4 linked regions of the Rhinolophus ferrumequinum genome follow. The protein of the gene in region 4 interacts with the protein of the main gene of each other region in a biochemical or structural test. Links are inferred from orthologs where the notes say so. Each region holds a gene or a part of one and is shown on either strand. Other genes may lie near its edges.

What was found.
Region 1: the proteins of MAGI1 (region 4) and FCHSD2 form a complex in vitro, tested with the Homo sapiens proteins (2 studies listed by BioGRID and IntAct, with this or other methods). The link is inferred for Rhinolophus ferrumequinum from reciprocal best matches to the Homo sapiens genes MAGI1 and FCHSD2.
Region 2: the proteins of MAGI1 (region 4) and ADRB1 interact in a test that uses a peptide from one of them, tested with the Homo sapiens proteins (2 studies listed by IntAct). The link is inferred for Rhinolophus ferrumequinum from reciprocal best matches to the Homo sapiens genes MAGI1 and ADRB1.
Region 3: the proteins of MAGI1 (region 4) and CYSLTR2 interact in a test that uses a peptide from one of them, tested with the Homo sapiens proteins (2 studies listed by IntAct, with this or other methods). The link is inferred for Rhinolophus ferrumequinum from reciprocal best matches to the Homo sapiens genes MAGI1 and CYSLTR2.

The regions. Positions count from the first base shown.
Region 1 is NC_046294.1:48,435,204-48,443,333, forward strand, and holds the start of FCHSD2 (F-BAR and double SH3 domains protein 2), read right to left. Parts: upstream 3,140-8,130; 5' UTR 2,645-3,139; coding exon 2,624-2,644; intron 834-2,623; coding exon 736-833; intron 1-735. UniProt on the Homo sapiens protein: Adapter protein that plays a role in endocytosis via clathrin-coated pits. Contributes to the internalization of cell surface receptors, such as integrin ITGB1 and transferrin receptor.
Region 2 is NC_046299.1:13,973,140-13,981,025, forward strand, and holds the start of ADRB1 (beta-1 adrenergic receptor), read right to left. Parts: upstream 3,152-7,886; 5' UTR 2,851-3,151; coding exon 1,453-2,850; 3' UTR 1-1,452. UniProt on the Homo sapiens protein: Beta-adrenergic receptors mediate the catecholamine-induced activation of adenylate cyclase through the action of G proteins. This receptor binds epinephrine and norepinephrine with approximately equal affinity.
Region 3 is NC_046287.1:88,775,868-88,783,502, forward strand, and holds the start of CYSLTR2 (cysteinyl leukotriene receptor 2), read right to left. Parts: upstream 3,043-7,635; 5' UTR 2,882-3,042; coding exon 2,865-2,881; intron 1-2,864. UniProt on the Homo sapiens protein: Receptor for cysteinyl leukotrienes. The response is mediated via a G-protein that activates a phosphatidylinositol-calcium second messenger system.
Region 4 is NC_046300.1:59,913,268-59,921,096, forward strand, and holds the start of MAGI1 (membrane-associated guanylate kinase, WW and PDZ domain-containing protein 1), read right to left. Parts: upstream 3,157-7,829; 5' UTR 2,545-3,156; coding exon 2,232-2,544; intron 1-2,231. UniProt on the Homo sapiens protein: Plays a role in coupling actin fibers to cell junctions in endothelial cells, via its interaction with AMOTL2 and CDH5. May regulate acid-induced ASIC3 currents by modulating its expression at the cell surface.

The sequences.
Region 1 (8,130 bases), on a different chromosome or scaffold from region 4:
ATTTGACAGATGTATTACTAAAGGGAAAGAAGAATTGCAGCTACTGTTTCAACATGCAAATCACTGTCCATCCTTTACCAAAATATGTTTGTTAAACTGTCGGGTTGTATTGTAGAATTGTTAAATAAAATGGTGGTATTTCTTTCAGTAAAATGAGTCATGCTTCCCTCTATAAAGAAAGATACCAATTTTCACAATTGGCATAATGTCTAAATTCAAAGTTTTCTTGATTATGAACAGAGGTAATTTTAATGATAAACACATTTCTCACTAAATTTAATGTTCAAAGATAAAGTTGTGTCTGTCATGCTCCAACAAATAACGCTAGTATATAATCATCTCAGGTTGACCGGCTCACCCCTAGATATTAACCATTAACCAGAGGAGTTAGTTTAAAAATCAGTGTGAAATCGATAAGGTCAATAAATGTTATAATTCAGTAAAAAGATTATTTAAATAAGAATTTCAACTTCAATGATTATAATTTGACAGATAAACTTTTAAGACCCTTGTTTTTTCATAATAGTATGTGTAAGTTATAGGTTCCCCCACTAAAGGAAAAAAAGTTTGTATTGTGTTAGTTCCAGTTATAATTTCTAGCTGAGTCAAAGCTCTAACAGCCTTAAAGCAGGAAATCCAAAAGGAAATTCCATCATCAGTTCCTGGGGCTTGGTAACTCAAAGCTTCTTTGAAACAGAGATACAGAAGTTCTCAAACTATTTACTATAACCTTACCTCATATCTTCAAGCAAATCACATTCTGCTTGATGTTTGGCTTGAAGTTTTGTCATCTGCTCAACTTGAATGTTTTTCAGTTCTTGTGTAACTTTCACCTAAAATACACCATATATTTATGAAGGCCTTACTGCAACTTTAACAAAAAACAAACAAAAAAAACTGCTTAAGGAAAATACTTAATACTTGTCAGAATATACACCTCTTGCGCACCTCTCCCCTGGAAACTAGAAATCCATTATTAGCCACCTAATTTTGTTTACTGAAGATACTCAGTATGAAAAAAAATTAGCCAAATAACCTGAAACAGAGGCTAAATCTAAGTACACAAGTGTAAAAATTACAGATTAAAGAGGTGCAAAATAAACTGCTAGTCATTCAATTTCATGCACAAGCTCAGTACATATCTAGGTCTTCCTAGAGTTTTAAAAGAGTCTGTCTTCTGTTTCTTCCAAAAAGGATTCAAAGATATTAACCACCAGAAGTACTGAGCAGAGTGTAGCCCGGAGAAGGGAGCATAAGAATGCCTAATATCTAATGACTGAAATTTACACAATCATGAAATTATATGCATGAACGGACTACATAAATTATTCCATAATGGCTGCAAGAAAGCACACTGTCTCTGGATGATGCCCTCCACTCGCTGACAGCGCATCAAATCACAATCTTTCTCACAAAGGAGAAAGCAAAAGTGACCTTCCAGCATATGCAGTGCTTCTAAGCCACCCCAGCAAGCCGGTCCCCGCCGCGGCTCCACTTTAAAGAGCCAGAATAGCAAATGCAAGCTGGCCAGTGCCTCGCCCGCCAGGCCGGGACCCCAGGATTCCAGGTTACAGTGGGCCTGGAATCCCCACCGCCGGAGTGAGGCTACCCGGAGGGGTCGGGGTACGTTTTTTAAAGAAAAAAGACTTACTTAACTGAAGAAACCCGGATTAAGAAAGAAAGAGGAGGAGGCAGACACGAGTGAGTTAGATATTCAACAAACGTTTGCCCACGAGGGGAGGATAGAACAGCCTCCTCCACCCAGCGCCCAGAGTAGACACTCAGTAACTATCTGCAGGATTAAAAAGACAAGGACACAGACTCAGCCCCTGGGAAACGTGAAGAGGGCTGTGAAACAGTTCTCAGAAAGTGCAGCAGTAAAGCTGCTGACAAGCCCGGAGCACCCGTCACTCCCACCCCAAATCCAGATCGCGGTGCACCCGCCACGCACTGCCCGGTTTTCACTCTCCTGAGGACAGCATCACCGCCTCCTGGCCCCCTACCCGGAGGGACGGGGCAGGAATAGGGTGGGGGACAGAGAAAGGCAGGACTGACTGGTCAATGCTTAATTTCTTGTTTTCCCCTGGGATGGGGGGGGGAGATGACTATTCCAACTTCTTTTCGGCCCGCCCCGTGGGAAAAGCAGGCCAAACCTTAAGGCTGGGCTAAAAACAAATTCCCTGCAAATTTGCAAAATGGGCGAGGGTGGCGACAGGCAGCTGGAGGGCTCAAACCTGGTGCAGACTAAACAATCACACAAGCACAAGGCTCTGCAAAGCTGCAGGGGCTCCCCCGCCTCCCCTTGGTGCAGCCCCGAGAATGCACTTTGCAGCGAGCAGCACTGCCATGCGCGCGCACACACACAAATGCACACCCGAAACTCCTCTGAAATGTCGGGGGTCTCTCGCGTACTGGAAGGGACGAACCTCAGCCACCCCTCCGTCGGAAAGTCACCTCACACCCGTGCCCCCCCGCCTAGAACCGGCGGAATCTCAGTGACAAGCCAGAGGCGACGACGGTCACGGCCGGTTGAGGAAAGGGGGAGGGGGCGCAGCGGTCGCCCCAGCCGCGTTCCTTGGACGCATCCTCCCCGAGCCCCGAAGCCCCCCTGCTGCACCCTCACCTTCCTCGGCGGCGGCTGCATGATGCTGAAGGGACATCAATCCTCCACCGACGGCGGCGTTAGCTAAGACGAGGAGAAGGAGGGCCGACGGGAGGGGACGGCCCAGCCGGCGCGTGTGTGTGTGAAAGGAGAGCCTGAGAACGAGGACTAGCCCGGGAGGGAACAAGGCCGGCAGGCGGCAGGAGGACCCGGGTCGGAGGGCGAGTGTGAAGAGGAGGAGGAGGAGCGCCGGGAAAGCCTGGGGCTCTGGCGGCCTGGGGGGTGTGTGAGGGAAGGAGGCGGAGACCGCGAGGGGGCGGGGGCCCGAGAGCTGGGGCTCAGTCTCCCAGCTCGCCGGTCGGCTCTCGAGGAGCAGCCGCGTCGTCCGGCTCCCCGCCAGCCGTCGGCTCCGGGGCTCCTCACAGACGCGGTCCCCCGCCCCCACTCAGGCAGCCCGGCCCTCGCTGGGCCTGACGCCCCCACCCAGCCCGGGGAGGTGAAGGCGGTGCCGCGCTCTCAGCTTCAGCTCCTCCACTCAGGCCGCGGGAATTTCCGGCCCCACCGCGAGGCGCAGCGCCCCACTCCGGCGGCGGAGGGGACAGCTTAGGCCAGAGCCGGGTTCCAGGTCCCGTGGCCGCGGCGTGGGGCTCCCTATCGTGGCGGGGACGGGGGGAATTAACGGATCGGTCGGCGAATAGGAGGGGCAGGAACATTAGCAGAGCACGAAAATCCCCCCGTCCTTCCCTAGAGTGGCACGTTCCAAACGCCTCCTGTCCTCCCTCCCCCACACTGGGAGCCAGCCGGGGGCTTCCCGCGCGCTTTCCCGCCAGCCTGCCGAGGCGCGCGCCTCCGATCGGGGGCGCGCACGTGGGCGGGAGAGGGCTCTGCGCCGACGCACGCGCACAAGCAGCCCCTACCTCCTGCTGGCTTTTGCGGCTGCAGTGTTTGTGCGGGCTGGGGGGTCGTGGACGTTCAGAGTGAAGTTTTTACAATGATAAGGGGTCAGTATGCCTGTGACAGTAGGAGAGTTCCGGTTTTCGCTTCATCTCGGTCCTCCAACACCCCTCTCTCCCGAGCAAATGGGCCGGGCAGATAGGCACCAAGGGAGCCAGCATTAGCAAGTCTTATCACAGCAGATCACAGGTGCCTGACTGTTGTTGGGGGGCGGGGGGAGTGTCTAGTTCCCCTTTAAAGAAAAAGAACAGCTCTCTGCTACAGGGCATTCAAGTCAAAGAGCATGGACTCTGCAGGAAGGGAACAGTTAGGTCGTTAAAGGCAGGGCCCCCATTTTATGGATGGGGTGAATAGTGCCCATAGAGGACTGGAGACTTTCTGAAGGTCACACAGTAGGACTAGAATCTCTGGATCACGAAGGGTTCTTTGGGTTATAAAGAAACAGGTGCAGACGATCCATTAGGAAAAGTAGAGGAGGCAGCAGGGGCAGAGGAAGCCCTTGTCTGGGAATCAGGAGCTCTGGATGCCGGTCCACTCTGCCTGCCTCTAATTGGCTAAGTGAGCTTGGGCTGCCTCATCTGCCAATGAAGATGCTCATCCAGGCAGCCCCCACACCCACCACCGCACGACCCCAGTACCTTCCTGCTCTGCAGACCATCTGGCAGGAGGGGTATCTGCCTCTCTTGGAGTCCTTAGAAGAATGAAAATCCCTCTTCTGGAGCCACAGGGCTGTGTAGAGGGTGAACTAGATTGCCCCATAGTTTTATCAGAAGTTGGCATCTCTGACACCTGTTCTCAGAAGTGTAGTCAGGCAAAACAGGAAAGTGAGTGAGGCCTGGAGAGACCCAAGTAAATTGCTCAAGGCCACATGGCCAGAAGTTGGGAAGATGGAACTTGAACCCAGGTTGTTTACACTGAGTTAGCCTAGATTATTGTACATGAAGGTGATAGAATCAGAGCTATGCTTGAATCAGATTTAATCTAGAGCTATGTGTAAACTAGGAGACCAAGCTTGCTATTTCTGGTCTCCTTGAGGCCATTCAAAAGTCAGCCCTTCTGCAGGGTCCTCAGTTACTATCAGGGAAGGCCTGGGGCAAGAGAACAGGTGGATGGAGGCCCAGGTCCCTGAGAGTTGTGGGTCAATACCTAGAGCCCAGGCCAGAGGTAGCCAGGCTGGGCTCCAGTCTCAGCTCCACCACCAATTCATTGCGAGGCCTTGAGCGAGTCAGTCCAACTCTTTCAGCCTTTATCTCCTCACTTGTAAAATGGGGATATAATATCAGCCTTGCAGGCTTGTATTAAATAGATTTTCTCCTACCACAAGACCTGGTACATAGTGCTCAATAAATGCTCACTGATTCATCATTCATTCAAAAATATTTGCTAAGGTCCTGCTTTTTGCCAAGTCTTTGTACCAAACACCAGGGATAGAGGGATGAGCAAAACAGTGTCAGCCTAGGCCTTCACCAAGGCTGACCAACCAACCATTCCATGAATGACCCTGGGCCAGTGGGGGAGCGGTAAGAGTGCTTGCCCAGAGGTAGTGGCCCACACATAGAAGGTGCCTGAGAAAGATTTGCTGAATCCTCGTCCTGCGTGTATCTAGTCTGGCCCAGAGACTATCTTCCCTTCACCGTCCTCCTCTGGCAGTGAGCACTGGGGCTATAAGTGTGCTGGATGTTGGGCGACTTAGATTCAGCCTCTACCACTGATCTGCTGGGCTTTCTCTGGGCCTTGGTTCCAACTGCAGAATAAAGTAAGTGAATGGGCCTGGACCTTAATAGACTCTTCGCAGATTAAGTCAAACCCTGAGGCTTCACTTTATGAATTTAAGAGGGCATCCCCCACCTTATTTGCCGTTATTGTGAAACCAGGAATGGCATTGACTTTCTGGAATAATTTCCTTTGGAGGTTTTATAAAACTAAGGGGCAACACCAGATGGGCATGCCTACTAACTGCTTTTTCAAAAATGATTTTTAAAAGTACGCACTTAATATTTACCACCGGAACTTCCAAACTCCAAACTTTCATGTTACTTTTCCAAGCTAATCTTAATTGTAAACCTATGAAATAGTATTTTCTTCATTTTACAAATGGGGAACTAGAGGCTCATTGAATAGAAGTGACTTGCCCTGAAGTAATGGATTTGGGACCAGAACCCTGTTCTCCCATTTGCCTCTATGAGGAATGTTCAAAGGAATTAGGAAAGTTCACCCAAGAAAAAAGCAGTCTCAGGAGGTTACAATCCATATGTTCCAAAGTCACAGGGAGGGGGAAAAGGTTTCTGTGATTTATGCAAGCCTGAATTAAAATACACATATACACCTTTGAATCAGGCTGGAGACTTCCAGAGCCTTTCTCCTGCAAAGCAGGCAAGCACCATGTTACCCGTAAGATTTCTTAAGATTCTTTGGGGGAGATGCCACAGAGCTGTCCCATGGCCACAGAGTAGCATGTACTGTGTGTGGCTCCAGAGACAGAACTGGGACAGGTCTCAGCTGCATCTAGGGAAGGAGGTTTTCTAGGCAGAGCCACCCCTAGAGGGGACAAACTCCCCCATCCCTGGGGCTGTGCAAGCAGGTGTTGGCTTCCTTCCATCAAGGAGGATTCTCACCCTGGGAAGGAATAACCACTACCATTTATGTTACCTTTTCCATGTTTCAGGCATTGAACAAGACATGTCATTTATATTGTTTCTAACCCTGACAACAACCCCTCGTGATAAATATGACCCTATTTCACAGATTTCACAGCCTGAGGTTCAAAGGTAAAATGACCTGCCCAAGGTAACACAGCTAGGACAGGAGAGCAGGCCTGGCCCCTGGCTCCCTCTAGCTCTGCAGCTGTGCTCTCCCTCTAGTGTGTGTGCTGCTGTGCAGTCTCCCAGAAGGAAAATGATTCTAAGCTTAAGAGCCAGGATGGAAAGCTGGCCTGGAGCAGGTATATGAATGGGCTTTGGAAGATGAGCCATTCCAATATTCCAGGACTCTCAGGAAAACCCCCGGGGAGGCAGTGTGTGCAGCAGCCCTTGGACATGGCTAGAACATGAAGAGCGTCCCAGCCCAGTGAAGAGTGGGTACCCAGGACAGGCGGGCACTCCACCCAAGGTTCTCTGCTGAGAAGGTGGCCACCAACCCATCTGCCCATACTGCACCACCCCCCTTCAGCTGGGGTTCACAGACCCTCTGCTTCCTTTCCTGCTCTGTCATGATCCCCCACTTACAGATGCCAGTTATTTCCTGCCTGCACCCCGCAGAGCCTAGCTGCAGACAATGTAGTCTGTGGACCCCACTCCTATTCACCTTCCTTCTACCCTAGTCACCTTCCCTCTCCACCTCCATCCCACAGGCACACACATAGGGGCCTTTGCTCCTACCTGAGCTAATCCCCTTAACACGGCCAGCCTGGCATGGGGGTATGTCTCCTCCACGCGTCTGCTCTTCAGACAAGAGAATCACAGCCCGCTGAAATGCGGCTTTGAGATCTGTGACCACCAGAAGAGGGCAGGGGCTCTCCCTAGGACACAGAGTGAATTTGTGGCAGAACCAGATACCATCCAGCATCACTCAACAATCCCCTTGTTCTGGGTTCAGTCATAAGCAGGTCTCTGGGGTAAGCGCCAGGCCCTGCATGCACTCCAAGAGCTCCCAATCTCAACACGTAGACAAAAGGTCACAGCAGTGAATTGAGGACATGCAGGGCCAGGAGAGTCATAGGACCCAGATTCTACCTGGCTGTAGCAGGGATCTAAGGCCAGAGGTTAATTCTTGAGAGGCAGGCACTGGGGTCGGGAATTATCTGGTCATCTGGTGCCCCTGCCAGGGAATATTACAACTTGGGGTGGGGATGAAGGGACAGCCAGTCCCAGGGCTCTAGTAGGAGCTGGCAGTCACATGGTTTTGAGATCAGGAGGCAGGAAACCAAGGTTCTAGTCCTATCTTTGCCTGGTACTTGCTGAGTGTGACTTTACATTACAAATTCTGTCCGGTCTTCCTTCTGGGGGGTGGTGCAGGTTAAATGAAATAATAGGTCCGTGATCAGTAAAGGACTGAGGAGCTATGTGAGCAAGTAACTACCCATCCTTGGATATATCAGCGAAGGGGCTTCCCACTGGTTGCTGCACTGTGATTACAACTCTGTGAAACTAGGACCGATGGGTAAAAGAGGTTAGGGTGGAGGGGTGATATCATGCAGATTTGGGGTCAGACGCACCTTACTTAGTTGTCCAGTTTCTCCTCTACCTGACTTTGGCTTCTTGACCGAGTCCTGAAACCTCTCTTCAACTGAGTTCCCTTGTCCAGAAAAGGTAAATAATGATTTTTTGCAGGGTTGTGGTGAGAATTAAATGGGAATGTTTATATAAAACGCCTGCAACCATGCTGGCCCACACATGGAAGTTTCCTTTGTACGTGCATGTGTTTTCCTTCAGTTTCCATTCGTTTTGTTCTGGTTTTGTTTGTAAATTAAAAAAAAATAAAACAGAAAAGAGGAATTCTCATGGGAGGAGGTTTAGCCCAACTACAGTCCTGGGTTTTGCTCCTGACTCACCATGAAGCCCCAGGAAGTCCCTGCC
Region 2 (7,886 bases), on a different chromosome or scaffold from region 4:
TTGAGTCATGAAAAACTATTAAAAGAGCTCTATGGGAAATCCAACCTATATTTTGAACAAAGCAAACTGTCTTTTCCATGATCACTGACCTCTTACAGACACACGGTACATAAACTTGATTGTGCTTCATTGGTATTTATTGCACGTGGACCAGTTCCTCACACAGTAGTTAGTTGCACCAGAGTATAAATACTTGGTAAAACACACAGAGGAAAATAGAATTTACACACAGGTGCTAAATTTTACCAGCAGATTCACGTGGGCACTTGGACATAAAAAAATAATTAAAAAATCCTTAAGATAATTATATTTATAATATGGATACAATTACAGTACCATGATAAAAGAGTATAAAAAGGTATTTTTCCAATAAGTCATTAGCTAAATAACATAATAGACAACAGAAGTAGAGTTTCAATTTTATTTTAGTTTTTACGATCTCCCCCGCCCACGTTTAAAAATATTTAATTTCTTCTTGTGCAAGTAACATCTTCTGTGGACTTTACAATTCCTAACACTGTGCAAAAATGGCATTTTTAACCACTCCTTTTTTTGTTTTGTTTTGTGTTTTGTTTTTACCCACGTTTAGTAATCTGAACTGTTTCCTCTTTTGTTTTCTTTTTCTGTTCTGTCTTCAATGGACAGTCACATGTCACAGAGGCTCAGTGCCTGGTCCTTCCAACTCATATTGATACATAAATAGCTGTTTAATATAAACAAGTCTTTCTATTTTGCTGTGCAATGTGCACAGTGTGAGGTAGAAACCCCTCAGCCTGACGACCGAGGCGCACGGGGACAGCAGGCTTATCCTACAAAAGGAAAGCAAGGTGAGGCTTGTTCCAAGAATAGCTTACAATTTCTTCTAACGTGGATTTCGCACACACCCTTTCCCTTTGCTTTAGGAACAGGAGAAATCATAACTCAGGAGTTAAAATGAAATTTCTCTGGAAAGCAAAAGGAAACATGTCCCGACAAATTGTCATTCCCCCTCTCGCTCCGGTTGACCGCTCCTGTTCCCGGGAAGTCAAGTCGATAGACTTTTACCCCGTCATGCTTCTCCCTTGCCCTACCCAGTCCTCGTAGAACGTGTCAAAAACACCTGGGGAAAAACAAAAACAAAAACAAAAACAAAAACAAAACAAAACCTAAAGATGCATCATACGCACACACAAAAGAAGATCGAACCTCAAACAGGAAAAAGAACACAAGAAAAATCAGCAAGCCACTCTCTCACCCCTCCCCAAACTTTCCTTTCTGTGCAACGATCCGTGGCTTTTCTGTTTGTCTTGGATGATTCAGATGAGGTTTGTGGGCTCCGAGTTCACCTGCTTTCGATCTTGAGTAAACACATATCTCTTTCCCCTGGGAAGCCATTCAGGGACGCCTAGGCTTTCTTCCTCTAGGCGCGCAGAGCCCGCGTCCCGGCTGGGAGGTGTGGAGGGGTGCCCGGTCCTACACCTTGGATTCCGAGGCGCAGCCGGGGCGGCTCGGTTCGTCCAGGCTCGAGTCGCTGTCCGCCGCCGCCCCGCCGTTGCAGCCGGCCCAGGGCTCCAGCAGACGCGCGGGCGGCGTGGCCCCGACGTCGTCTTCGTCGTCGTCGTCCGAGGCGGCCCCGGGCGACAGCGGCGGCCCGGCCACCGCCAGGCAGCCGGAGGCGCGCGGCCGGTCGCCGGTGGCCGCGTGGCTCCCGCGGGCGGCCCGGCGCCCACAGCAGAGCAGGCGCTGGAAGGCCTTGCGGAAGTCGGGGCTGCGGCAGTAAATGATGGGGTTGAAGGCCGAGTTGGCATAGCCCAGCCAGTTGAAGAAGACGAAGAGGTGGTCGGGCACCAGGTCGCGGTGGAAGGCTTTCACCACGTTGGCCAGGAAGAAGGGCAGCCAGCAGAGCGTGAACACGCCCATGATGATGCCCAGGGTCTTGAGCGCCTTCTGCTCTCGCAGGGCCACGAGGCGCGAGGGTCGCCGCTTGCTGGTGCGCCCGTTGGCCAGCGGGGTGGCGGCGGGGCACGGGGGCCCCGGCGAGGGCGCGGGCGAGGCCGGCCGTGCCGGGCCGCTGAGGAAGCGGCGCTCGCAGCTGTCGATCTTCTTCACCTGCTTCTGGGCCTCTCGGAACACCCGCAGGTACACGAAAGCCATGATGCACAGGGGCACGTAGAAGGAGACGACAGACGAGGCGATGGCGTAGGCCCGGTTAGTGACGAAATCGCAGCACTTGGGGTCGTTGTAGCAGCGACGGGCCTCCTCGCCCTCAGCCCGCCACCAGTGCATGAGGATGGGCAGGAAGGACACCAGGGCCGAGATGGCCCACACGGTGCACACGAGGGCCCGCGCCCGCGTGCGGGTCAACAAGCTCTGGTAGCGGAAGGGCGAAGTGATGGCGAGGTAGCGGTCCAGGGCAATGACACACAGGGTCTCGATGCTGGCCGTCACACACAGCACGTCCACCGAGGTCCAGAGCTCGCAGAAGAAGGAGCCGTACTCCCAGCGGCCCCACACCACGATGGTGGCCCCGAACGGCACAACCAGCAGCCCCATGACCAGGTCGGCGCTGGCCAGGGACATGATGAAGAGGTTGGTGAGCGTCTGCAGCCGCGGAGTCTTGGCGATGGCCACGATCACCAGCACGTTGCCCGCCACAATGAGCAGAACGATGAGCGCCATCAGCAGGCCCATGCCGGCGGTCCACTGCTGCGACAGCTGCACAGGTCCCTCGCTGGCCGGGGTCAGCAGCGACGCGGGCGGCGACGCGGGCACCAGTAGTCTCGCTGCGGTGGCCGCGCCGTCGGGGAGCGGCGCGGCGGATGACAGGTTGCAGGGCTCGGAGGCGCCCAGGACGAGCGCCCCCGCGCCCATGCCGAGCTGCGGAGGCCGGGGGCGGGGTGTGTGGCGGGGTTGGGCCGTCTTTGGGGAACACCCCAGAGGTTGGGGCGTCCGGGCGCGCGGAGGAAGGTCGCGGCCAGGTCAGGGCAGCCGCTGCGCAGAGCCGGAGGCATGGGCGCCGGGCGCCTTCCCTGCGGGAGCCAAGCTCTGTCGCCGCCGCCGCCGCCGCCGCTGCTGCTGGAGCCGCTGCCGCTGCTGGAACAGCCGCCGAGACCACAGCATGTTTCTGAGCGCGCTGAGCCCGCAGCTCAGGCACCCAGCATCCACCCCACCCCGCTCCTACTCCCGCAAGCCAACCCCTCGGACTTCGCGTCAGGCTCCTGCAGCCAATCCCGACAAAGGCACGCCCCTAGTTGGTTCCCCCCCACCCCCCCGCCCCAACGCCCCGCACCCCTTCCCACCCGCAGTTCAGCGGCTCTGGGGAGTCCGGGACGATTCGAGCAGTGAGCTCCTGCCCGGCGCCCGCCGGTGCCTGTGCGCGCGCCCCTTCCCGCTCCTGCTGGTTCCTGCGCCCTGTTCCCCCAAGCTCCGTGCTGCGGCCAGCTCCCACCCGCGTCCCTGCCCCTCTCCTAAGGCCCCCACTCTCTCCTGCGCTGCGCTCCCTTCTTCGCCCCTTCTGCCTCCTGCGTTCGGCTCCCTCCTGCGCCCCCGTCCCCTGGCATCCCCTCTACGTCCAGTGCCCAGTTTTCCTGCGGAGCGGAGCGAGTTCTCCCTTTTGCGGGGAGGGAAGCTCGGTGTTCTCCCAGCCCCAGGACACCTTTGACAGCCTGTCCGATGGGTTTGGAGGAGATTGTTTCTCGGATCGGGCAGCCTAGCAGAGTGTGTGTAAAACCCTTTCCTGGTCAAGGAGGGGACCCAGCCAGACTGCGTCCTGCCAGCTCAGGGGATCGGAAGCGGGTGTTAGTGGTTAGAGGAAACTTTGCAGCAGAGCGCCTTGCTAGAAGAGCAAACGACGCATCCCTCAGGAACGCTCTCTGGGCGCTATTCTTGCAAGGAGCTTCTGTTGTACCAGTGCAGTAGATGCAGAAAGGAAGCTAAGGTCTGTGCATCTGACAGCTAGTGCTGAGGACCAGTTGGACACTCCCCAGTCTCAACTAATGCATAATGTGAGTATAATGCAACAATGAGTGTGGATGCTATAAAGAGAGAGAGGCTTAAGGAAACACAAATGTTTAGACATAAGAGAAAATGACACTGCGGTGAAGAAAGAACACATTTAATTACATTTCAGACTTTTCCCATTCAGTAATAACACCTGCATTTTGTGTTTTATTACTGACATGATTTTATAATTCGAGCTGGGTCACTACAAACAGAAAAGTACTGTTAGTTATGGTTGATGTAATGAACTGAGATTTCAGATTTGTTGGTGGGCTTGGTTTTCTCCTTTGTCCAAGTTCCCAGAGTCTCAGAACTCTAGGATTAATTTTGGAGGGATGAGAGAAGAAAATATGTAAATACTCAAGAGGATTAAAATCAGATAGCAGTTAAAATTATATCAGTGGTTTCTGAGTTGGCAAATGAATCAGTTTGAAATTAGTGAGTTGTGTGCCTAGCTGTCTGTGGATTGTGTGTGGGGACAAACAGACAGGATAGCCACCAGGAGCACACAATGCAGCAGGACTGCAAGCCCCCTCTCAAATTAAGGTCCTCAGCTCAACCTTGAAAATAAAAAGCCTTTAATTGAATCCTTCAGAAGTAGACAGCTTCCAATTACCCATATACGGGTGCATGAAAATGTTATGTAATGCTCACGCATCTTTCTAGCTTTTGGACCAAACTCGTTCTTACCTTGCAGAGAGATTGACTTCCACACCAACCCATGTCTAGAGCTAAAAGCAATGCTTATTCAGTTTATAAAGTCAAGCAGTTTTAACCACCTTCTCTTATGTGAATCTCAACATATAAATTTGTTTTAGGCCCAGAGTTGTAATCAGAGTGTTGGGGGGATGGTGATTTATTTGCTCATTCATCCCTGCCCTAGGACTTGTCAGCCTATTTCTGCCAAACTGGAGAGGTTGAGGAAGGGGGAGCAAGGAAAGAAGAGGGTCTAGAAAGAGGGAGGAACAGGAACTATACCCTGAGTTAAGTATAATCTCTGGAGAGTCTTAGTTACCCAAGTTACTGCACTCCTGTCTCCCCCTCTGGCTTCTTTCTGTACCCCCTGAACCCCACACCCACCCGCAAGAGGTAGTCTCAAAATAGCCAAGGGATTGGAAAGAGTTGAATTTGACACTTCCCAGGAAAGGGGTTCTGAGTGCTGCTGGGCTCGGGGGTGAAGTGTAGGGAATGTGGAGAGGAGGCTTTCTATCAGAGCCATCTTTCTGTCAAGTGGTGTTATTGGAATAGTGTGCCAAGCTCAAGTGCCCCTGAAAGATGAAGGGATTGCATTCTGTCAGCAATAAGACCAGAACTTGGTTGTAGAGGTTCAGTGCAGAAGCCCAGATGCCAATACCTTTACTGTGTCTATAAATATGTACGTATTTGTATACATTATGTATCCATACATGTATTTGTATACATAGTATGTATAAACACACCATGTATGGAGAATTGTTGAAAAACTCTCCTGAAACTTACCCCCCTGCTCATTCAAGCTTGTCTGAATTTCTGGATAAAAAAATTCATTAAATCATAAATCTTCAAAACCAGAAAGTTATTTTAATAGGAGTTCCACTAGAGGGCTGCAGGGGATCCCAGGGACTTTCCTTCAGTGGTATTGATGGAAAAGTTTGGAATAGTCCAGGTTCAACTAGAGTTAGCTTTCTTTGAAAATGAAATGTTCTCAGATCTCCTTTAATTCCTACATTTTGTGGCACTCTTTTTCTTCTTCCTTCTTTCCTTCTCCTTGTCCTTCTCCTTGTCCTTCTCCTTCTCCTTCTCCTTCTCCTTCTTCTTCTTCTTTGGACATTTTTGAGCTAACACTTTTTGTACTTAGATAAGGATACAAGATCAAGAAGAAAAGGTCCGATATATCCATTTATACAGGTATTACATGTTGCAAGTTCAAAATGAATAATTTCTCCATTCCCACTCACAACTGTTCAAATGAATCACTTCTCAGGAACCCGTGGATTTGACAGGATTTTAGAAAATGACAGAAAGCTCCAACAATCAATGCTAACCAGCACACCTGAGAGCTAGTGGCCTTCTTCCTCAATATTCCCTGTCGCACCTCTACCTTTCCCATCCCACTACCATCATTTCACACCTGAACTTGCTATGCATTCTCTTTGATCTCTTTGATCTCTAATCCTCCCTGCTCCATTTAATTTGGAATGCCATACCAAATTAGTATTTCTAAAACACTTCTTTGACCAAGATGTTTTTCTGTTGAAAAACCTTAACTCCTCAGCTTGGCATTCAGAGATTTCCACCGTCCAGTTCCGAATAGCCTTATAGCCTTCCCAGTACTACCTTGGACTAGAACTCTCCATGTCACTCTAACCTGAACTTCTGAATTTTTTTTCTCTCTTTTAGATCTAATCTCTCTCTCTCTCTCTCTCTCTCTCTCTCTCTCTCTCTCTCTCTCTCTCTCGCATTTGTACTCTCCCTGGGTTGCTTCCATCAAGAATCCCTTCTTCCTCCATCTCTGTCTCAGTGGATTCAGTCTTCAAGATCTATCTTTTTTATTTTACAGTTATTTCTGCCCACCTGCTTCTGGAAGTGATTTCTCCTTCCTCTACCTACAGTGATTACTCTGATAATTGCATTTCATGTGTCAACAATATTTTGCCTTTTCACATCTGTCATATTTTTATTTAATTTTTATAGGTTTCTCTCCCTTTTTCTTATATGGATTGTAAGATCACTGAGAGCCAGGATTATCCTGTACATTTTTATATCTCCCATGATGTAACATTTGCTTAATATTAATTAACATGGAGCTTTGATTCATAAATATGTAATGTCTAATTTATTGAAATATTCTTATATTTACTAATGTGAGAAATTATTGAGTGGTTTTAGAGTTATAATCTTACATCATGCTTAGAATTTACAGTAATAATTTATGTCCCTATAGCCTAGTCACTATTTTCACATAAGCATTTAAAAATACTTTACAATTACAAGGTAGGCTCATGAGATAAATTTATACCTACTTGGTAATGAATAAAATGGGACATAAGAGGTTTTCCAAAGGGGCCATGCAGGTCCACAGCCATAAAAAGCACTACTTAATCTTCATAAATATTCAAGGTAAATGACCTTTTTTTTAAGCTTTATGATACTATATATGCAGGCATTTTGCCCTTGGAGAATAGCTCATGACTTGAACCTGGTTTCAAGTTTTAGATTAAATCAAAGATCCACACAGCAGTAGTTAATAGGTATCCAACCCACCTATGGTTGTAAGCCATGAGCTTGGTGAAGACATTTCCCCTCGTGAGTTGACTTACCTTGAAAATGAGGTAAAAGTAAAAGGGATAATCTAACTAGACAACTGCTGGAAGGTGGGCCAGTGGAAATGGGGAAATTTTCAAATAAAGCCCCAATAAATGTATCAAATCAATAAATGTTAAGTAAGCAAGATTGCCTCAAGGCTGATAATCAGTGGTGGGATTTGTTAATCAGAGCTCAAATGGCTACTTCTGAGTAAAGATAGACAACTTTTCATATCAAGCAATACAACTGCTGAAACAGTCACCCAGAACTAAGTAACAAAAGAACAGCCTGTACCCGTGGCTGGTACTTAAGGTCATATAATGGTTTTGCAGTCACAGTTTACACAGGGAGAAGCAACTCCATCCATTATGATAAGAACAAGCACAGAGGACAGTGGTATAATCATAGACAAGTGTGGACTATTTGGAAACTTCCTCCATCTTTGCCTCCTCCTCCTGTTCCTGGTATGTCTAACAAGTACATTGAACAGTGCTAGAGCCAATAATAATATTTTTCAAAATGTGGATGTGTTGGAAAGTGTTCAGACCTGGGAGGCAGAAGATCAAGGTTTGTGTCCTGGCCTTGTCACTTTTCCCTGTGACCTTCAGCAGTGGCTTCCTCTG
Region 3 (7,635 bases), on a different chromosome or scaffold from region 4:
CTAGGACCCACAAATTAAATCCTTCTGAGTAAATAACAGGTTGTCTTATGCATGTGGGAATTATTTCCAATTTTTGATCCTACCTTATTGCAATCTAATGTGATATCTGCAGGAGAGCTGCATTTCCAAAATATCTTCCAAAATGGCCTTGGTGTGATGTGAAACCTAGATATTTGATATTCTGGAAAAGACATCAGAGAATAACTTCTCTTGAACCTGATGGAAAGGACCTTATTGGTACTTTTAACAACTGGCACAGTATTAAGATTCCAATATTTTAATCTTTGGATTCATGTTTCCCAACTAAAAGACATACATACTTCCTGTCAACTACTGGAAGTTCATTCCTTTGAAAGACCTCAAACTGAAGATTTTTAGAAATTCTCCGGAAGCTGTTGATTTACAGATGTGGACAGCTTCTGCCCAAAATAGCAGAGCAAACTACTGACTGCAGAAGCAGACAGCTTTCCCACACGACAGAACAAAATTAATTTTCTGATTCTTTAGCACGCTTTTTCTTTCCCTTCACTACTCATCTTGTCCATCACTGTACTTTCGCTCCCTCTATTAACTAAAATGATCTCCCTTCTCTTTATCCTGTGACCCATTATGGTCTTCTGCCACTTAAGAAAAAAAAATATCTGTTGTGGTTTTCTCAGACCATAGCTACTGTTCTGAAGTCAACTGATTGCTGACAAAATTTAATAACTTAAAAAAAAGAAGAAAAACCACTTCAAAAGGTAAATTTTCTTCTACATATCCCTTCTGATATTTAAGTTCCCCTTGTATAATTAATCCCAAACTTCAGTCTGTTAACAATTTTACAGTGAACCCCATCAGCAAAATACTTCTGCTGAGGTCTTCACCAGAAGACCTAAGCCGTTAGGAGTGGGAACAAAGGTGGGGCCTATTTTAGATTAAAAATAGTTTCTTTGTTTTCTTCAGAGATATTCCAGCCTGCTTTGCAGGACATGTTTGACTCCCCCAAGGAATTTATCCACCTCCAGTGGCCCCCCCACTCCTGCAACCCCTACAGAGGCTCACATAAAGAGAAGGCCTGTTGTGATCAATGATTCTTAAATTCCCAATACCAACACAGTCCTTGCCTCACTAGGATACTTCTTATTTATTTGGACACCAGGTTTACACCCACCCGCCACACGCTAACTTAGCCTGTGTATTCAGGATAATTGTTAGAGAATTTCAAAGGTTTGAATTATTACTCCCTCCAGCGAATCCTGTTTCCCTAAAAAGAATACACAGAAACCTTAGAAAAAGGTAAGCACAGGCTAACTGAGAGAACACTTGGGAAGCATAACTAACTCCCATGCATGCAGACTGTCATGCTGGAGACCCTGCTCGCTCCGCCATTTGTCGTGCGGGGTGGCCTGCAGGGTCTCTGGTCCTGCTCCCCACATAAGAACGCAGGGTGTGGCTAGGACAAAAAGGAACACCCACGGAGCCATAGTTAGGGCAGTCATACCACTATAGTCTCACTGGAGGCTGGATTCACACAATCCGCAACCTGCTGTCCGATTCTCTGCCTGCCAATCAACCGATTCACTAACCAACGCAGCCGTGGAAGTTCTATCAGTGGCCAACTGGCTAACTGGTTACAGCTGACAGCCATCCACCACCCGAGCCAGCACCTTTCCACATGAGGCTGAGAGCCTGGAAACGGCTCTCTGGGACTCTGTCCCCACACAGACTGTGCAAGCAACTACTACCAGAGCTGAGAGAGCAATAAGAAAGGACTATGCAAAACTTGTCTCCGACCCTGGCAAAAGTCACAAAGTATACAACTTCTCTGGAAGCTGACAATATTCTCTCCCTGATCAAACTCTAGCCAGGCTCCTGTGAGCCCTCTTCCCAACTAGGTTTCCACCTGGGCCTAATAAAACACTAACATCGTTCTTAATGGCTCAAGTCCACATCTCTAGGATGACCCTAACCTCCCCTTTTTAACATAGCCTGAGATAACTCAAGTCTGTCAAAAGAATTTACTCTTTGTTTGAACCAACACCTGAAGAAAGGGCCCCTGTCTACCAGCCTCTGTAAGAAGGTAGGAGGCTAACCCTCTGTAAGTGCCAGTTAGCAAACCCAGATGCATTTCACATAGACCAAGCTTCCCTTCCAACTTTTTGGAATTTTCTACTGAGCACCTTTTCATCCCCTCTTTCTCCCTTGAAAATGTCCTGTTACCTCCATAAAAATTGAAGTTGAGTTCAGTTCATGTTGGATTCTTTTCTCTATTGCAATAGTATATTATTGATTAAAATCTGTCCTTCTCACTTTAACTAGTGTCTGGCTTTATCTATGATAAAGCCCAGGTTTAAATGTAAATTTATTAGGCAGAGTTGTCATGCATAATGACATAATTCTTAATTTCTTCTTAGCTAGCCAAAGAGAAATATATGCTGAAGTAAGCACTTCTTATAGAACCTGTATAAATACTACAGAACAGCTCGAGACTGGGGTAGGGGTGGGGGAAACTTCCTCGATGTCTAGAAAAAAACAGGTAAATTCTGGGGGCCATCTTTTCATTATTTGGGTGTGATAGTCTAGGTCCCTGTTTTTCAGAGTCTATTATGAGAACTAATAACCATTTTTGTTCCTGGAAATTCCTGCTTCCTTGAATCTCATCCCCAAATTACTTAACACAAGCACAAATCCTCTAATAATTCCTCATATCTTCGTTCTGAGTTTCCCAAGGTGTGCATTCTCCCTTGGTACAACAAATCAATACACCCAACTTTGTTCCAATACAGGCATGTTTCTAATGGATGTGGACTAGAAGACACTGCGAGAATCCGCACAATAAAGAATAAAAGGGGTATGGTGAAACATTAGTTACATTAACCTACCCAAAGGGATGGTTCATAAATATATTTCTGATGCAGTATGGATGTTTTTCAATTCTCCTTCAGAGACCTATGTGAAGATGTAACTCAGAAAACATGGTTGGCTTGTAAATGATGTCAAAAAAAAAGAAAAGCTTTCTTTCTTTAATTCAGCATTTCCCGAAGTATCTTCCGTAGCATATGAGTTCCATACGATGTTCTCTGTAAAAGAAAAGACTTCCATGTTCAAATCAGCCTGAGAAACACAGCAAGTTCTACTATCCCTCCTTTTGGAGATTTATAATGCATGTTAAAGGCTCCATTAGGGGTCCTGCAGGGAAAAAGAAAGGCTGATTTATACATAGGATGCCTCTCTTTTTTGACCCTAAAAACTTTTTTTGCACATTAACACATTCTATTATCCCACAGGATTAATGTTCTACACAACTTTACTTGGGAAATGCTGATGTTATTATATAATCCATTGGGAAGATGATTTTGATAGAGGAGAAAGAGAACCCCTACCTAATGGGTCAGATCAACAAGCAAGTGTTCAAGTGTTTGGAGTCACAGAGTTCTAAGCACTTACTTTTGGGTGAATTTGCATTTTTGAGCACCCATTACTTCATTGGTGAAATGGAGATTGTATTAATTTCCTAGGCCTGCCTTAACAGAGTACTACAATTTGAGTGGCTTAAAACAACAGAAATTTATTCTCTCACCGTTCTGGAGGCTAGAAGTCTGAAATCAAGGTGTTAGCAGGGGCATGCTTCCTTCAAAGGCCCTAGGGAGGGAAGAATTTTCTTCTTGCCTCTTCTAATTTCTGGTGGTTACCAGCAATCTTGGTATTCCTTGGCTTGTGGAGGCATCACCCTAATCTTGACTCTATCACATGGTGTTTTCATTCTGTGTCTTCACATTGTCTTCCCAATATGTATTCGGTGTCACAATGTCTTCTCTTCTTAAAAGAACACCAGTTATTCAGCTTAGGGCTCATCTTAATCCAGTGTGACCTCCTCTTAACTTATTACATCTGCCAAGATGCTATTTCCAAATAAGGTCACATTTACCTTATTAGTTACCTGGGGTTAGGACTTGTATGTATCTTTTTGGGGATCATAATTCAACCCACAACAGGGACATACAACATCTATGCACTGAGTTGTAAGGATTAAATGAGAGAGAGTGTGTGTGTGTGTGTTTCACAAGAGTACGTGGTACTAGGTAAGTACCACTAGCTGCTTCACTCTCATGAATGAATGTAAGGATGCTCTAGCTTCAACATCCATCATTCCACTGTCCATGTGGATGAGTTGATGACAATTCTCTCATTCATATGAAGTGTACAAAGTAGATTCCTCTTTGTGTTTGTTGGAAAGCATACTCTGCAGAAGCATACTCTGCAGAAGCATACTCTCAGGTTATTCTGACGTGTTTATGATGAAAATCTCTCAAGAGAACTCCACTCGTTGGTTCTGAGTCTATCCCTACCAGGGAACCTTCTGATAACTCATCTTCTTAATTTCTGGAAGAGTGGACTGTGGATTGTGAACTGGAAGATTCCAACAAAGGGAAAGTAGAATCCCCCATTATAAAAGTACAAATCAGAATTCTGGGTTGAAAATTCATCCCGTGTGAGTTTAGTTTGTGTAAGTTGATTTCTTGAGGTCTATGAGCTGACTGACAAGATGAAATACCTCCTGTGCAGAACTGAGGGCCACATCCTATTTCTGAGATGGCCCCAGGCCTTGGTGCTAACTATAAGGATCTCTCTTTTTGATCTGGCTCAACAGTAAATCTGAGGTTTCTAGCTTGGGTTATAGGAAGCATGGTGAGGCCATTTGCTAGAATGAAGAGCACAGAACTCAGGAGACAGGTCAAGGCTGCAGATACAGTTCAGGGAGATGGTCACGAAGAGATTGGAAGTCTGTATGCCTGACTTGGGAAAGGGAAGATAGCAAAATAAGAGGCTTGGAGATAATGTTTTAACCAGTTTGATAGAGAGCTAAAGTTTCTATTCGTTGGCCAAGCGAGGACAGAAGGATCAAACCTCAAATCAGGAAGTACGGTGTTGAAGTGCTGGACGTCATACAGACAGCATGCACAAACCAGGACCATGAAGCAAACATGGAGTTGGATCAGATGTCACAGTTATGGGTCAGCTCTGGATGGGAAGAACACTGGAATCAGGGTTAACACTCAGAGCCTAGGGGATAGGAGACAAGGCAAGGAAACTAAGACTGGTATGTGACCAGCCAGAGGAATTTTCATGGAAGTGTTCCATTACAAACTGGTTTTTTGAAAAGGACAGAGACCTGTCCCTATGGCCATATAGAAACTCTTTAGTTTGAAAGATCCTGACTTTGGAGCCAGGATTCTGATAGCATCATAAGGAAAGCCTATATCTAAGAGGCCAGGGAAGGGTCTGAGTTAGTACAAATAGACTCGAAAGCAATCAAGTCCTTAAACTTTTTGACCGTGAGGAGCACCAATCCTCCCATCTCAAGACCAACAGGGCTTGTGAATTACAATGAGAAGGGCAGCCTAGGATGTGGCAAGCCTTCAGGGACACTGCCAGCTACAGATGCTGGGGCAAAGTCCCTTACCATAGGCAGAGCATGGACTCTAGCAGACAAGAAACCAGCAAAGAGAGATGGTAACAGGTGGTCCACCAGGGAGTTGAGGAATGTGAGGGGAAACAAAAATAGACCCTAGCAACAGGGACTCCTTGAGCAACTGGGGAGGAAGGCAGACCACATGGGGAGGTCAGTCTGCAGGAAGGAAGACCCTTTGCCGCCAAGCCACGGTGCAAGAAAAGGACTTTGGACCTGAGAGGAGGCCTGGCCAGTTCAGGCAAGCTCTGCATCCTAGAGGGCCCAAGTGCTGGAAAAATCCTTGGACACAGAGACTCAGACCCGGGGTGCCAAGACAGGGGTCCATTTCCCCCGGTGAGGCAAGGACTGAAACTCAGGAATAAGAGATGTGTCCAATTTTAGAATCAAGGCACAAGATCAAGGTCAAATCAACCCCAAAGGTAACACTACGTCCCAGAGTTACTTCAGTTCCTCTACCTGAGACTGGGATTGGTTCTGGGCCCCAGAAGGGGCTGCAGGGCAGTGGGAAGGGTTGATGACTATCAGACAGGTTGCAAGGAGAGGATAACTACACAGGCTGGGGCTTTGATTTCAAACAACACCTCCAAGACCATCTTAATCCCTGGAAATCTAAAGAAAGAAAATATACAAACATCCTCCCTAAAAGCCTCATTTAGCTAATAGCCACAGACCAAAAGCAGGACCAGCTCAGATACAAAATTTCATTTAGCTCAATATTTTCTCTTGAGAACCTTTAAAACATTTGGATTGTTCCTTCCTGCTAATATAAAATACATTTGACTACACCACATTGTAATCTTTCACTAGACTGTAAAAAAAAAAAAGAAAGAAAGAAAGAAAGAAAGAAAGAAAGAAAGAAAGAAAGAAAGAAAGAAAGAAAGAAAGAAAGAAAAGAAAAAGAAAAAAGAAAAAAACTTCCCTGCTAGATGTGGCTATAAAAACCGGCCAGACCAATTAAATATGTGAAGGAAAGGTGAGAAATATATGAACAGGTAAATTCAAGGGAAATTAGGAAATAAATTGACAGCATAATTTCCACTGCTTTAGAGGGAGAGTGTGCATGGCTTTTTGTACCGAAAGGGGGCTTGGAACAAATTAAGGCTTCATCTCCTACAGCTTTACTGGTAATAAAGTAACAAAGAAATAGTGAGAAGCAGCAGCAGATGGAGATTCCATATTTCATTTAGGAAGAACACCAAAGAGAGGTAATAGCTCACATTGTTGCTTACGCGATTTTCATGGTCATAGCAAAGCTTCAACTGTCCCACACCTCACAGAAGTTATTTTCCTTTATACTTAGGAAAATATACATTTGGATGCATGGACGGGGTGATGGTTAGCCCTCGTCACCGGGGCCCCCTCCCCCCCTCCCATCAGCACTGACAGGGAATGTGAGCCCACAGATGTGCTCACCTCCAGTTCTCAGATCTGGGCCTGGGACCTGTGCTCAGGACCTGAAGAGTGAGGCACTCAGACACACTGACACAGACATACCCAAGAGCAGCGAACGACGTGCTGCTAGACAACCAGCTGCCGCGACGCTGTGGTAAACTGCTGAGGAACAGATAACCTTCTGGAGAATCAAGGTTGGTACAGTCTGCACCATCTTTTTAAGGCCTTAGTGCACAGCAGTCCTGCGGGCGACAGCAGCAGCACCAAACCTGCCAGCGCCTCGTCAGAAGGAGAACTGGTAGACCTGCCATGCTGCAGCTTCCCTGACTGCTATTCAGTGACGTTCTGAGTCTTCTGTTTGGCCACTGTTGCCAGGCCTTCTAACCTCCACACTGAAAATCCTTCTGATAAATTGACATCAGTGCCCTTGTCTGTCTGATCTCATCAGCCACCCTCACTACCCCTCACTTTAAGCCCCCCAGCTTTGGCCAAAACTGCCTAAGGGCTCTGGGAAAGCATATTTCCTTTCTCAGCTCACCTCCATCTCCACCTCAAGCCACAGATGCTTGTTCATTCAACTTGGAGCAACAGCCAACCTGTGCTGCGTTTACTCTGTGGTAAGCACTCGGCAAAGCTCCTTTGTGTATTGTGTAAGGATTGACTCCATGAATCCTTAAATAGTCTTAGGTACTCTGAATTGGTCATTTCATAGATGAGAAAAGCCAAAGTACAGAGACATGGAATACTTCCTGTGCCTAAGTTTGCCTGTCAACTAGTGGTCGGATGGG
Region 4 (7,829 bases):
CACACAGAATGGTTCTGGGTGAAGAGAAATAACATAACACTTGGAGACACTACAATTTTCCTTCCAACCCAGAGGTGTCTGATTCCAAACACACTTGATTATCTGACCATCCCCTCCTAAATTCCACTATGAGGCAGCCCTGGGACAGTGCCTCCCAGATCTTTGAAAACTGGTAGGAGGAAGAGGTTCAGCCCCACACAGCACCTTGTGTTGCACACTCAAAACAAGCCCCCACACAGGACCTATCAAACACCAGCAGATCCCTCACCAGATGATACCCCTGGCTGTCCTTCCTCCAGCCCTTTCTCCAAATGCCCCTGAACTGAGACCTTAAGATGCTCCCATCAAATGCAGTATATTCTCTACAGTTCCACCAAGTCCTGATAATCCAGGTACCAGCATTAAATTCATAATCCAGTTTCCTGGCACTAAAAGCTAAACTTAGAAATAACTAATTCTCTAATTCAATTTAAATATAACAATAGCTACTCTTTATTGAGCACTTACTACTATGTGCCAGGCACTGTTCTGCATACTTTACACTTATCAGCTTATGTAACACCCTCAAGAAAGCCAGTTTACAGATGAGGACACATTCTCACAGCGAGGCCAGGTATTAAGCCTTAAGCAAAGCCAGGGGAGATATGCAATGAACAAGCACAGTCTATCCCCTTAACTAGCTTACCACCTGGTATGGAAATGAGGGGAGTGATCTAACTCAGAGTTAGATCACTAGCTGGATGCTTGGAGGGCTTCTTGGAGGAGGTGTCCAAGTGGACAATGAGGACATAAATGGAAGGAGCTTTCCATACCTATGCATCTGCCCCTCAGCTCCCAAAGCTAAAAGGCCTGTATATTCCCCTCTGGTTCCCTCCTCCCTGTCCCCTAACAGGCTTGTTTCCACGACTGGACCGGCCTAGCCCTGCCCAGCCCTTTTTTCCTTTGACCCATTCCTCCAGCTGCTGTTGCCCTTCCAGACCAGGAGGCACATGGGAACTTTTCACCACACTGGACTTTGCCACCTCTTCTAATGCCTTCTTGGGAGAGAAACTGCGTCATGGCACTTGGTAGTATAAGGCCTCCCTTTAAGGGAATGGAGTCCTTCTCTGTTGGACTGATACAGGGACACCCCCTTCCTTGCCTACACGTGCGATGAAAGGGACTCCCCACCACCAGCAGCCAAAGGAGAGGCCATCACTCCTCTACAGGCTTTGGCGAGTCATTTGCTTCCACTCCCTCATCCCACAAGGGTCAGCGCCCCCACCTCTCCCTCTTCAGTGCTTAAGGCTCTGCAGCAAGGGCTCGATCCCTCAGTTTAGTATCATGTGACCTTGGCCAAGTAACTTAACCAATGTCAGACCCAGTTTCCTTATATGTAATACGGGCTTTATAAAAACAACTCATTCTCAGAATTGTGAATCAGAACAAGGTAGTGCAAGGGACGCATTTTACACAGTCTGGCATGTACGTAGTAAGCTAACAATGAATAGTAGCTATCATCATCACCAATAATGATATGGCGATGCTGGTGGTAGTGATGATGGTGGCAGCATAAACTTGGGCTTGATTCAGGCTAAAAGAGAAATACACTTCCTTTCCCTCCGCCCCCCACCACCCTCCCCGCCTCCCAAGCCTGGGGCTGAGCCACACGGTGGAGACACGCATCATCCCTCAGTGGGGCGAATGCAGGCTCTTCAGGCGGCCGGCTTAGGAACCGTTGCGTCCGAACCCACCTGGAGGGTTACGGGATAAAGGCGATTTTCTGATGGAGGAGGTCCAAAAACCATAAACCCTCTCCTCACTCATACCCATTGTCCAGGTCTGGAAACAGACCAGTGGCAAAACAACACAGCACTAGGTCTGCAGCATCACTCCCCCAAGGAGCCAGGAGAGCCTCCACTTGGCCTCAGCCTCAGTCCTCCCAACTCTCCTCCAGGCGCAGGCGAAGCTGCGCTGCATTTGGTGACTGAGATAACAGGTTGGCAAATCAGGCCTGGGAAAAGTCTCCCCGCTTCCCGGCGCAAATCCAATTCCCTCCTCCCAACGCAGGTGGGCAAACAACCCGCAACCTCTCCACAACTTTGTGTATTTCACCACGACAGGGCGCACGGCCTCAATTTCACCTCTAAGCTGCGCTCGCGGGAGAAAAGCGGGAAATTGAGATGGGGGTGGGGGCAACCCGCAGGCAGCTCCCCTTTTCTGGGCGCCTCCGGAGGCGCGTCCCGTCTTACCTTGTCTGACGGCTTTGAAGGTGACGGCCTCCTTGCAGCTGTCGATGACTCCCAGCACGTCATAGCGGGGCAAGCCCGACACCCGGATCCCCTGCACCTCCAGAAGCAGCTCCCCCTCGCCCAGCCTAGGGCCCTCGCCGCCGCCGGGAAGCCCCGTCGCCTCGGCCGTTGCCACGGCTCCGACATAAGGAAACTCCCCGTTCTCCGCGCCCCCCAGCACCGTCACCTCCAGCTCGCCCTGGGGTCCCCGCTTCACGGTGCATTCGTGAACCTTGCTAGTCCAGTGGTTCTTCTTCTGGATCACTTTCGACATGACGAGTTACACCACTCCTACCCCCAAAAAAAATAAATAAAATGAGACAGGTGCCCCCCTCAGCACAAGCCCCCAGTCCCCGCTGGTTCATGGGAGAGACATCTTCCCAAAAATAACGCCACGGGAGAGAGAAACTTGGTAGCCTCACTCCCCTGCACACACTCGCGCACTCAAGCCATCATAAAACAAACTTTCTGGGCTTCCCCGCGAGCCCTGCACTGGCGCCCACGAGCTTTGTTTGCATTCCGGTGCTTCTGGGTCCACGTTCCAGCGCCCGACCGTGCTCTCCCGGACCAGAGTCCACTCTGCGCCGCTTGGGTTTTGGTGGTTTGTTGTGTTTTTTTTCCTTCCTTCCTTTCTTTCTTGCCTCTTAGAAATGCGGAATCTCCTCTTTAGCTCCCGCCTGGCTCGCCTCTCCGCTGGCGGGCTGTTCCTGAGGGTGAGGGAAGCCCTTCCAGCCAGTTGCTGGGAGCCCTGGAGACGCGGTAGCGGAGCGGGGGTGGGGGTAACAGGAGGGAAGTGCCTGCGGCCCCTTTAAGCAGATACAAAGGCTCGGCTTGTTTTGTTACAGTTCATTCTATTCCGCGCCGCGGAGCGCAGCGACCGGCGAGAGAAAACGCACGCGCATGCGCCCCTTGGTCTCCAGCCGGCCGGCCCGCCCCGTCCCTCCTTCCCAAAGGGAGAGATTCCAATGTGCTTCCCGTTGGGTCCTAAAACCGACATTTATGGAGAAGACAAGTTACTCCCTTTCAATCACGCTTCTTATTCCTGCTTTTCTTTCAGTGCCTTGGGCGCAGCAAATCCCTTTGGAGCTAGGGGGAAGCACATGGGTTTTACTCCAACTGTTTGCAACTTTTGAAACATGGGCAATCTGGGTTTGGCATTTTAAAACCATTTTAAACAGGTAGGGGCTGGGGAGGCTCACACACTCACCCTCGCGCTCACACTCACGCACACACGCACGCACTCAACGCCGGCCTAAGCCGCCTAATCGCCCTTGGCCAGTGGCTGGCCACGCTGTCGGTCACTCAGCCCAGCTTGTCTACCGCCCCCACCCCCACTCCGCCGCATTTCCCTCTGATACCCCTGTGCGGGTCCGGAGACTGATGTCTGCCCCGCGCCTGCAGTGAGCCGGGTCCTGGAGTGGAGCTGGCCAGTGTCTCTGGGACCCTGGGGAGGGGGGCGGTGGGTGCCTCCTGGATGCCCCACCTGGGATCCCTGTGAGCGTCACACGCTCCCACACACACTTACCCGTACCCTTAAACTGTGGAGCCAACGTTTTAGGACACAAAACTGTAAGAGAGGGAAAGAAGCCAACAGTTTCGGAGCTTCAACATAAAAGGGCTTTTTAACTGCTCTTCCAGCAAAGACTCCTGGAGTCAGTCATCTATCCCGGGCTCAAGTTCCTGGCTGAGCCGGGAAGCCTGCGGACCTGCCCCGGGGCCAGGAGATAAGGATCACCCCCATGTCTGGGATCTGCACCCGCGTCCTGGCGCCCGCGAGGGCGAGGGCGAGGGTGTGGGCGCGGGCGCGGCAGCCACCTCTCGGAATCCGCAGCCCCAGAGTCGGTGCTGCCTCCGGCGCCCTCCGGGGACCGGGGGTAGCCGAGCGTTTGTCCGGGCTAGGTTCAGGAAGGAGCTCGGGAGATGCCGACAGAAAGAAGACCCTACACCGAGAAGGAGGCTGCCCTCCAAATACGCCCGAAATCAGCCTGGGCGCTAGAGTCTCCCAAGCAATTTTTTTTTTCCTTAGTGATTTATAACTTGTTTGTTCTTCTTTGGTCACAGGAGAGATTCCAAGTGCTAAATAAGGAAGATGAGTGGAAGGGACTCAGGAAAGATGGATGCCAGCTGCAGCCAGGGTTAAGATCTGGCCTCTGGGTTTAACTTGAATAAGCTCCGTGACCCTCAGAGCCTTAGTTTCTCCCCTGAGTATAGCAATACCTCGCAATGTACTTGGGAGTATTACATAGGTGAACACTTGTAAAATGCCCAGCTTGTAAAGTGAGTACTTGTAAAATGACATATAATAAAAACTTATACTACTACCACTAGTAGTAGTAGTAGTATTTTATTTGGAAAGAGAATTAGGAAATCGTTTGGGGTTTCAAGTTAGATGATGATGATAATTCCTGCTCTCCTTTCTAATCTTAAAATATATAGGCATACATTTAAATATTTTTAAAGCACTCTGGAGAGTGCTATCTAAGCTAATAAAAATAAGAGAAGAATATTGATGCTTCTCTCTAGGGATATCCAGAACTGAAAATCCCCTTGCTTTGTAGTATTCGTGAAAGAAGAAAGTAGCCAAGTTTCCTTGACTCTTCTTGGTGAGGGAAACTTCATCTCCATTCTCTTTTCTCAGAAGCAATCAGTTTATCTCACACTTGACTGAATCAAAATGAGTGGGAGCTTCAAAACATTCCTTCCCAAACGCAAACAATGATCCAGCCCATCAGTCCAGCCCCCAGGACTTTTAGGGTTCCCCTGAAGTGGTGCTGGTACATAACATTGAGGACCACAGGTCTAGCATCTCGATTCCTGAGCATCACAGACCCTTTTGGAGAATAAACCTGTAGTCCATATCTTCCTATAGAGTATAAGTTCCAGGGGGGTAGGGAACTTTGGCACTTAGGTTTACTGATATAGTCCCAGTTCCTAGAACAGTGCCTGGTACCTAGTTAATACACAACTATTTGTTGAATGGATCTCCCCACACAAGTGCACATTTTTGCATACCATGTTAGAAATGGAGTCACTGAGTCCCCTACAAATCACTAGTAAGCTTTACCTTGTGTGTTACCCCACTTGCCCACTCCATATTCTAGTAGTCTGATTGCTTGCCAAGAATTTCCCCAACTGCCTAGAATCAGGGGCCTCTTCCTACCTCCCCATTCAACTCTTGCTCCCACCTGGAGAAGTCCAAAGAATGGGCAAAACCAAGTATTTTGTGATTCATCCCACTGCAGCAGCACCATCTCCCCTCTCCGGGATTCCAGGTGTCCCACAGCTGGGAAGGGAAAAGTACTTGGAATTTAGCACACTTCAGATTTTAGATGTGGAATAGCCCCAAGAAAAGAAGGGATATCTGAGGGCACAGGATGGAGAGACGTATAGAGAGACATTGTATTCCAAGAACATAAGTATTTTGAACCTCCAAAGCAGCTAAGACCACCAATTTCCAGTTACTAAGTTTATGATGTCCCCAAACTCTCCTCCTCTGACATTTTTTGTCTACTGTATTTCACCTGGTCCAGTTCCTGTATCCCAGACTGGAAGCAACTTCAAGGCAGAAATTATCTATCCTATCCAACCTTTGAATCCTCAGCACCTAAACCCATGCCTTTTGTGGCGTGTGCACCATACACATTTGTTAAATGAAGACATGGATGAAGTGTGACGTTAAACTGCAGAATATGTGAACTTTGTTGCAAAGCCTTTTTAGATTTGGTGGCTGGAGCGAGCCAAGGTATTTATTTCTTGAAAGAGCTTATAATTATCTCATTTTGAAGTAGATTTTTCTTGAAGAGATGTAAAACGGGATCCTCGTGTTCTGGCTTCTTACACGTAGAATATGACTTTGATAATACATTCCAAAAGGGAAAAATAATGCTATAAAATACCTCACTTTGAGGTTTACCATGTGTGCCTGGATAGCTTTGTGCATTATTTTATCTAATCATCACAATCTTGTGAAGTAGGTGTGACCTGATTTTACATAAATTACCTTGATTTTACAATCGAGGAAAGTGAAGTTAGGGAAGTACAGAAACTTGCTCAACAGCTTAGAAGTGGTAAAGCTAGGATGTGAACCCAGAGGCATGACCCAAACCTAAAAACCCATGCTCAGCACCACTGCACTAAGAGAGTGTAGGATGTGGCCAACTTCCATTCAGTGTGCTTGGGTAACAGCATTGTTTTTGGCTCCTGCATCTGCCACACAGTGTGGGCTCACTAGTTAAGCCACCCTCCCATGTCTTCCCTTTAATCTGAAGGAATACAGTGTTCCATTCTGGAATCCAATCTCCAGTTCGCCATCTGTGGGCTCTGAAGATTGGATAATTTACTGAAATGTAAAGAGGATTAATTTGTAAACATTTCTAAAGTGTTTGGAGATCTGTGGGCTGTGGTACAGGTGACATGCCAAACATCTTTATACTGTTATTGTGTTAACATTTCAACAATGAACTCTTAATAAACACAGTAGATTCAAATGAGACCTAAACTGTAACATAATAAACTCTACACAAAGTAAGATCTTATTTTCATATACGTAGTTCCACTAAGGGAGAGGGGGGAAAAAAACTCACGAATATAAAATCTGCATGTCTTCTCTTTTTCCCAAATAGATTTCTTCCTAAAGTTTTCCAGTTGTGATTAAAGAAATTTATAATTGCAGTGTAAGTGGCATTTTACATTATTTTTCTGAAAACGTGAGGATGCGAAATAAGTTGGTCAGTTGTGGGACAAAGACGAACATATAACTTGGTTTTCATTTCTGAAAAATACCATCAAGAGGTATATGTTATAGATATCAAAACAAGTATAAATGCTTTGCACGTATTCAGTAAGGTAACTGATGATTTAGAGCAACAAAGGAGGTTGAAGCCATTAGTTCAGGTAGCAGGTAAATGGCAGTGAGGGCCATTTTCCTCGTCGTCTCTTTCTGGTGGCATTTTTATGATTCACTTGATAACTTATTCTTTTCCTTACAGGGAGGCATTTGGGTGATTTTCTCTGACCGTAGTAGTTCTCCTTTTAGTACTATCAGCTAAGCAAGAATAAATAAAATGTTAATTCTGGTGACCTTTTAAGAGATCACATGTGAACTATTTTTATACCCCAGAGAAGGAACTCCAAGAAGGAGAGTTTAATCCTGGCTAATGTTCTGGTTCACGTCTAGGGGAAAAAATGAGATGGGTAACTGGAAGATTTGAAATTTGATGATAGTTCCAGAAACCCAAGAATTTATCATGAAAATCTCTCCTAAAATTTCTCTCCTAAAATTTCTCCCCTAAAATTTCTCCTAATGATTCAGCTGTATAAAACACTAAATATCCCAAATTAGCACATTATCCTGCATAATTTTACTGAAAATACATCTGTTAATATTGTTAATTTCCTTAAGAACAGGACATTTGCATTTTCTTGATTACAGACATTTATATCTTTTATTCCATCTCCCACCAAATCTATGAAAATATAATAATCTGAACGTGGTCGATGCTTAAATAATACAGGATTTTGTTATTGAAGGTGTTCACTCTCTTCTTCCTTATTGTATAT